Macaca fascicularis: one gene and its partner. The protein of the gene in region 2 purifies or fractionates together with the protein of the main gene of each other region. This does not show direct contact. Links are inferred from orthologs where the notes say so. Each region holds a gene or a part of one and is shown on either strand. Other genes may lie near its edges.

Region 1 (4,497 bases), on a different chromosome or scaffold from region 2:
GCTGGTGCCTGGGGCAGCAGTTGAGGCAGGTGGCTGGAAGGGTTGTTGTTCTGACCCCGGGCCTGTTGTCTAGGCAACTGGAAACCTTGCGATGGCCCTTGAGACTGTCGCTTTAGGCCCCCGGGGTGCTGCTGGGGCCCCTGGTGCGGTGGGCTCAGGGCCCTCCAGGGTCGCGGCCTCTTCGGGCAGCCCAAGTGGAGAAACTTGGCTCTCCTGTCCTGTCAGTGCCCTGGCTCCTGAGGTCAGGGCCTGGAAGGATTTCGGGCAGAGGGGGCGTCTCTTCCTCTCCACCTTCTTCTCCTCCTCCTCCCCTGGTGGCGCCCCTCCCCGGGGCACCAAGCGCGTCCGTCCGCTCCGCAGCCTGGCTGAAGCGACAGTGACTCCGCCACCGGCCCAGAATCCCCACCCACCCCTCCCCAGGGGCGAGTCGGGGGAAGGGGAGGAGGCGGAGGAGGGGCGAAGGGCGGAGTCCGGGCGCGGGAGCCCCACCCTGTTCTCGCCCCTCGGCGAGGCCCCTCCCCCACCAACCCCGTTCTCGCCCCTCGGCAGGGCCTCTCCGCACCACAGAGACGTGGGACGGCCTCGCGGACTAGATAAGCGGCCCTCGTAGGCCCGCCAAAGCCCCGCCCCGCCCGCGTGCTCGCTCCACCCCTCCCCGCGCGCCCGGAGCCCCAGGCGCCGCTTCCTCTCGCGCTCGGGGCGTCGGCCCTCCGCTCGGGGGCGGGGCGGGAAGCGGCGGTGGGCGGAGCCTCCGGGGCCTCGCGAGGGCTAGTGGGCGGTGCCCGGCGGGCGCTTCCGGTTTCCGGCCGCGGGATGAGGGGCGGGGCCGGGGCTGCTGTGGGAGAGTTCGGCTGCTGCGGCGGGGCCTGCACGCTGACTGTGGGAAACTCGGTGAGCGGGCTCCGCGCGCCAGGCTGAGCTCCGGGACCGCCGAGGCTCCCTGGCCCCTTGACGAGGGAGAGAGGCGAGCGGCGCGGGGAGGCCCGGGGGCCGGGGAATCTCGGGGCCCGCAGCCTACCTGGGTGTGAGGGGCAGGGGAGAGGGGAAAACGGGCGGTGCCTCTAGAAGCTGGGCTCGGGGGCGGGGTGGGGGGCGGTGAAGCCCCACCTGGAGGAGCGGCCTTGCTGGGCCTCGGGGACGGTGTGCCAGGCCGGGGTCATGTCGGCGGGGCCCACGGTGCGCGCAGTAGGCTCTCGCTCTGGGTGGGCGCTATGGCCCTCGAGGGCTACTGGAAGGACCCCTGGCTTCTGAGGAGACTGCGTCTAGAACTTTCCCCGTATGGGGCCTTGAGGTGCTTGGTCTAGACCTGCTTTTGCGCTTGGTCCCGAATTCTGCTCTCTAGGAGTCGCTCTTGCGGGCCTCCAGCCCACCGGAGGCGAAGCGGCCCCGGGCGGAAGGCCGCTTGAGCCTCGAGGGAGGTGCCGGTTTCTCTCCGCGGGCGCCGTGGGGACGGTGGGAGGCGGGGGTGTCGGCAGCGCTTGGACTAGATGCGGCCTTGGGCCCGCCTGGTAGCGGGGATTTGGGCCAACAGAGCGCCCGCCTCTGCGGCTGAGTTCTGCCTGGCGGGGAAGGGAGCGTCCAATGGGTGCCGAGGCGTCCTCCTCTTGGCGCTCTGGCACTGCTCTTCCCGAAGAACGCTTTTCAGTTAAATGGGCGTCGGAAATCTCGGGCTCCCTGGGACAGGGATCGTCGGGAGAGGCCGCTCTGGACGTGTTGACACACGTGCTGGAGGGGGGCGGGTAACTGACCAGCGAACGGAAGTTTGTGGGGCCTGTGAACGCTGCTGGCCAAGCGGCCTTGCCTAGTGGAGCCCTGCTTCCGCCAGCGCGTCAGAGACTGTGAAGCAAAGTGCAGGGGGTCGAGTGGAGAGTGGCGGCCCCAGCCTCGCAGGGTAACTGAACTGGATGTTCTTGGCTGCCCAGCGCTTACAAATCCTGTTCCTTCTGTGCCCTGCCAGGAAACAAGCTCACATCTCCCTGTGGGAGACCTTCTAGCAGCAGGATGAGTCTGCAGTGGACTGCAGTTGCCACCTTCCTCTATGCGGAGGTCTTTGTTGTGTTGCTTCTCTGCATTCCCTTCATTTCTCCTAAAAGGTATGGCTTGTGGAGCAAGCAGGCGAGTTAGGCGGGAGGGTCCCTGTGCCCTAGCCCTGGGACTGGTGTGTGCAGCTGGTGGACCCTGGAATTGGAACCCGATGGAACAGGTAGAACCTGTCAGGGGTGGGGGTGGCAGGGGTTGTGTTTGTTATTGCCAACCCTCCCCAGGGTTCTGCTTCGTCATGACTTGCTCAGTTCCTTTTCCTGTGTCCCCTGCCTTCTGGTCTTCAGAATGCCCGCGAGAGGCAGGAAGATCCATGTTACAGTTCTGGAAATGATGCCCTCCCGCCTACTCTTGGCCCCCGGGGTCTTGGGATGGCAGCGTGGGATTCGGAAGACTTGCACCACTGGGTCACGTTGTTGCTGATTTGGTGACTCTTGTCCTAACTAGTCTCACTGGCATTGCGCAGTGGCTGCATGAACATTACTCAGCCTGTGGAGGATGAAGCCATATTCCCTTTTAATGAACAGAGGACCTGTTAAAAGTGAATTGGAAGTTAATTGTTAATTATGTATAATACCTGAACACGTCCCTATTTAAATTCACGTATTACAAATAAGGCCAAATCTCCACAGGTATTTTTAAAAACTGTTTTTTCATGAAAAATTATCCCTGATGTGATACCACAGAAAGTATGCAGCGCTGCCTGAGGAGGATTCTTGCAGAAAACCAAACCTTTGTACAGTTGACAAGACATGCAGAGATAGAGGGCCCCGGGGAGCTTTAATCTGGGAAGCTTTAGAGGACAGACAATCTGATTTCTACACAAAGCAAATTGGAAAAGCAAATGAAAGAGGGGAGGGAAGGGGGAGCTTCCATAAGAAGAGGGATTTAAGACATTTATCTACCAAATGCCAAATCGGTACCTTGCTGGGTCCAGATTCAAACAAATACTGTTGCCTACCGTGATTGGCATTTTCATCTCTAGCCCTGATGATGAGGGCTTCTTGTTGGTTTGAACAATATGTAAACACTTCTGAAGTCTCTTCTTAGAGCTGCATCCCAAAGCATTTGTGGAGGGAAATGATGTGAGGTCTAGGGTCCATCTCATCATAACCCAGGGTGGGGGGGGATATAGGCAAACCAAGGTTTATCATGTGGAAAGACAGTTTAAAGAAATAACATGTGTATGGGGCAGACATTTTGAATATTACAAAGGGGAGAACAATGAAAAGTAAGTTTCCCTTTTCAGAGACTATCAGTGTGTTTTCTTTTTGTTGCTGTGGTTTCTTTTTTTTTTTTTTTTTTTTTTTAATTTTGAGACAGAGTCTTGCTCTGTCACCCAGGCTGGAGTGCAGTGGTGTGGTCTCGGCTGACAGCAACCTCCACCTACTGGGTTCAAGTGATTCTCCTGCCTCAGCCTCCTGAGTAGCTGGGACTACAGGCGCCTGCCACCATGCGCAGCTGATTTTTTATATATATGTGTGTGTGTGTGTGTGTGTATGTGTATATATATATATATATATATTTTTTTTTTTTTTGTAGAGATGGGGTTTCCAGACGTGAGCCACTGTTCCCAGCCAACTACCCGTGTTTAAGATTAGTTTTCCAGGCCAGGCGCGGTGGCTCACGCCTGTAATCCCAGCACTTTGGGAGGCTGAGGCAGGCGGATCACGAGGTCAGGAGATCGAGACCATTGTGGCTAACACGGTGAAACCCCGTCTCTAATAAAAAATACAAAAAATTAGCCGGGCGTGGTGGCGGGCGCCTGTAGTCCCAGCTACTCGGGAGGCTGAGGCAGGAGAATGGCGTGAACCCGGGAGGCGGAGCTTGCAGTGAGCCGAGATCATGCCACTGCACTCTAGCCTGGGTGACAGAGCGAGACTGTCTCAAAATAAAAAAAAGATTAGTTTTCTAGACATTTCGATCTCTACGTGGACCAGCACCTTTTTTTTTTTGAGACAGGGTCTCACTCTGTCGCCCAGACTTGAGTGCAGTGGCGTGATCTCAGCTCACTGCAACTTCTGCTTCCCAGGTTCAAGTGATTCTCCTGTTTCAGCCTCCTGAGTAGCTGGGATTACAGGCACCCACCACCATGCCTGGCTAATTTTTGTACTTTATTTGTAGAGACGGGGTTTTCGCCATGTTGGCCAGGTTGGTCTTGCACTCCTGACCTCAAGTGATCCACCCACCTTGGTCTCCCAAAGTGCTGTGATTACAGGTGTGAGCCACTGCACCTGGCCTTTTTTCCAACGCTCTTGAATGGATATCAAATTAGAGAATTGCAAGCCACTGAGGCTGACTTTGTGTGGGCTATTCGGCCATTGGAGAAGAGTGCAAAGCTGGATTTCCATTTTGCTCAGGGCCCTAGAGCCCATGTGTGTGCTTTCTCTTCAGCTCCCGTCCTTTTTGTCGTCTTCACAGATGGCAGAAGATTTTCAAGTCCCGGCTGGTGGAGTT
Region 2 (3,770 bases):
GATTATGCTTCATTGTCTGTGTTCAAGGAGATGGGGAAGAGAGCATGACACACAGAAGAGAAAGCCAGCATCCAGCATGTTTACAGTGAGGTGTTGGATAAGGATATGTTTTAGTGAACCAGCAAGTTCACTTGTGTGCTGCTGGTACCAACTACGTGGTGGTTGTGGGACCCCACAGCCCCAAAAGAGCTTGGCCGTGTTGGAGCTCCCAGAGGCCCCAGGAGGGGTCCGGTCTGCTCTTCTGAGCTCTGCTGTCTGAGTCCCTTGTCCTTGGGTGGTAATCTCCTTAGTGGCCTGGTACTTTAGGCTGATGTTTGCTGTGGGTGGGGTGCTTTTTGACAGGTGGCTGTGCTTGTTGGGTTTTGGGGATTAGTGATGAGAGAGGGCATTTGGGGAACATTAAGTGGATGAGTGTTCTGCCTTTATCCTGAGCGGGGACCAGTCCAGATGTGAAGGCTACTGTGTCTGGGAGGCATCTCTTCTGTGGGGTCAGGGGAGAGTCGTGAGGAAGGCTCTGGCTCCTAAGGTCCAGGGAGGTCTTAGCTGACCCACAGATATTACCACGGGACTGCTTCTCCTCCTGTCTCCCTAGCCCCACCCCGAGCTGAGTTTGTAGCCCAGCTGGGAGAGATAGCACTGAAGGGGGGTGCTTGGTTCACTGATGGTTTGTTAACCCTGTCAGGTGGAGAATGTTCTGGGCCATTTGCTGTTATGTTCTGTGTCTGCCTGGGGTTACATTGCCTCAGCTTTCAATCCAGAGTTGTTCTCCTAGGAAGGGGTCAGGCAAAGGATATTTCTTGAGGATCTGGTGGATGGTTTCCTTGTCTATCCCAGGGGGATGTACCTACAGGGTTAGTTTGGGAGGGAGGAACAGGTGGGGAGAGGGGAGCCCCCAGACTTGAAAGAGCCAGTGGCGGGCAGTGTAAAATGGTTCTTCCTCCTCATCGCTCTATCCTGATCCTAATGTGGGCTGACCTGTCCATGGTTCCAGCTTGATCATGTGCAAGAAATAACATAGCAGCGACAAAAATAGGACAGAGTAAACAGCTTGCTGCTCTTCTGTCTCTGCTCTGACACAAAAGTGAGCTGGGATAAAATTAACAAAGCATCTGGAAAAAGTAAAGTAGGACCTGGACCACAACTTCACAATTTAAAATTGTAGAAGTTTATACTGTTTCTTTTGCAACATACTCAGTGAGTCTGTGGCCTCCTGCAATGCCTTTGAAGTTAAAGCTTTGGCCAAGAATGCAACTTCCATTTGTTATATTGTTCCCTTAGGATCACTTGAACCACTTTTTAGTGGGCTCCCTCCCACTCACCAGGAGCAAGTCATACATGTGTTTACTTGTGTGAGTATATATACATGTAACTTCAGATGGTGTATATGCAGATGCATTTTGATAATTTAGGTATACTGTATTTTAAAACGAATGGTCCTTCTGGTTGAGACTAATGATTCTGGGAATGGAGAAGGTGCAGGAGATGAGGCTTTCTCATGCTTGACCCCCTCTGCTCCTGGGCAGAGCACACAGTGTACAGTCCCAGATGAGGATATTAATCCTGTGTACACAGCATATACAGCATGCCAAAGCAAAGCCTTCCAGGACTGCAGTGTGCTCCTCAGGGCAAAGACTATTTGAGTTACTCTCCTTCCTTGAGCACTGAGGTGCTTAATAAATGTTTGTTGATTGACTTAGTGATATGCAGCAATCCCAAGTAGTCCTTTGATGGTTATTTTTGAAAATAAAGTTACACTGGAGCTTAAAAAAATGTTTGTTTAAATTAATTTATTTGTAGGATGTATTTGGGTTTTTTCCACGTGAACAGCTGCCAAATTGGTTAGGTTTTACTGTATTTCCTATGAGAAATACGAAGTGGGTTCCCATAAAGTCCAAAAGTTTTGTGAAAAGTTGGGCCCATCCTGGCATGTAGTAGGTACTCTATAAATATTTGTTGAATGAATGAAATCAGAGCCACATGGAAAATGATGTTCCCATGAAAAGCTCTTATTTCTATTCGGCGCATTTAATGTCCTAGTAGCTGGCATTTTATAAGAGGATATGTTTTATTGGCAACAGTCCTAAAATTCAGTAAAGACATTGGCTCATGGGAATGTGTCTTTGACAGTTTATTCATTAAGCAAATATTTCCTGACTCCTACTCTGTTCTGGGCCTGGGCTCAGTCCTGGGGATGCTGAGGAGGAGAGGTCTAAATTGTTGATCCTCTGTCAACAAAGACTCACTGAGTGTCTCAAGCTCTGGCCACAAAATGAAGTACAAGACAGCAAGGGCTTCTTGGCCCATGTGGGAGGATAAGCTACCTGGAAGTTTTAGTGCTAGGTGATTTTTATTGGTTGCTAATTACATCTAATAATTGTTATTGATGGAAAGCTAATTTCCCTAATTACCAATGCATTTATTCTGGTGATTCTTTTATCATAGCAGAAGATGGCTGTGCCACCCACGTATGCTGATCTTGGCAAATCTGCCAGGGATGTCTTCACCAAGGGCTATGGTGAGTGTTGCAGAGAGCGGGTGCCTTTCAGCCCCCAGACTGAGTTGGCATGTTTGAGACTTTACCGATAACTGTTTAGGAGACCTGGGTAGGTCAGCTGTTCTGAACTTTCACGTGAAGGAAAAAAGCAGCTTTCATTTGTGTGGCAAATGAAGCAGTTTTGGTTGTGCCCCCAGTTGGACGGGCTCCTGCATTGATGCTGTCAAGTGGGTATTCCTGTTTTCTCTTCCAAGTGTGGAGCAACCCTGTGGAAGCTGCTGCAGTGGAGCGCGGCTTCTATATTTAGCCTGTGCTTAGGCACATGCCCACGAGGCCTGATGACTGTGTCTCTGCCAGCTGTCAGGCATCTTCTTCTCAAACCCTGCTGGGAGTGCAGGTGGGACCCAGGTGGGCCTGTGCGCATTCTGTCTGCTGCTGTTCCATGGCAGCTGAACTCCCCCCACGAGCAGCAGCAGAGACTGGGTGCCCTCAGCCCGTGTGGCAGTAGTGTACTTCTTCTAAAAAAGCATTTCGAAGCAACCGTGAGGGAGGCAGAGGTGCTGTTCTCTAGATAGTTATTTAACCTATTAACAGTTGTCTTCTTCTTTCTTTAGGATTTGGCTTAATAAAGCTTGATTTGAAAACAAAATCTGAGAATGGATTGGTAAGTTGTCCAACCCACGTGGAACATGAGTATTTATTTATTTTTATTTTATTTTATTTTATTTATTTATTTTTGAGATGGAGTTTCGCTGTTGTCACCCAGGCTGGAGTGCAATGACATGATCTCAGCCCACCGCAACCTCCACCTCCAGGGTTCAAGCGATTCTCCTGCCTCAGCCTACCGAGTAGCTGGGATTATAGGCGCATGCCACCATGCCCGGCTAATTTTGTATTTTCAGTAGAGACGGGGTTTCTCCATGTTGGTCAGTCTGGTCTTGAACTCCCGACTTCAGATGATCTGCCTGCCTTGGCCTCCCAAAGTGCTGGAATTATAGGCATGAGCCACCACACCTGGCTTATTTTTATTTTGAAAAAAGATTTTAGATTCAGGCTATACATGTACAGGTTTGTTACATGGATGTATTGTGTAACGGTGAGGTTTGGGTTTCTAGTGTACCCATTACCCAAATAGTGACCATTGTATGGAACATGGGAATTTGTTGTAGATCAACAAATAACTGTCATGACATGGCCGGCAAAACCAAAAGAAGGTACTTTTTAAAAAAAATTCTGGCAGTTTGTGGTTTTCACATTCAGTCCATTTTCTACATGA

Evidence for each region.
Region 1: the proteins of VDAC1 (region 2) and BCAP31 purify together in Homo sapiens (affinity purification with western blotting; 3 studies listed by BioGRID, with this or other methods). This does not show direct contact. The link is inferred for Macaca fascicularis from reciprocal best matches to the Homo sapiens genes VDAC1 and BCAP31.

The regions. Positions count from the first base shown.
Region 1 is NC_088395.1:159,779,634-159,784,130, reverse strand, and holds the start of BCAP31 (B-cell receptor-associated protein 31), read left to right. Parts: upstream 1-1,546; 5' UTR 1,547-1,581; coding exon 1,582-1,735; intron 1,736-1,954; coding exon 1,955-2,093; intron 2,094-4,461; coding exon 4,462-4,497. UniProt on the Homo sapiens protein: Functions as a chaperone protein. Is one of the most abundant endoplasmic reticulum (ER) proteins.
Region 2 is NC_088380.1:140,514,772-140,518,541, reverse strand, and holds part of VDAC1 (non-selective voltage-gated ion channel VDAC1), read left to right. Parts: intron 1-1,278; exon of another isoform or gene 1,279-1,349; intron 1,350-2,442; exon of another isoform or gene 2,443-2,445; 5' UTR 2,446-2,448; coding exon 2,449-2,515; intron 2,516-3,108; coding exon 3,109-3,158; intron 3,159-3,770. UniProt on the Homo sapiens protein: Non-selective voltage-gated ion channel that mediates the transport of anions and cations through the mitochondrion outer membrane and plasma membrane.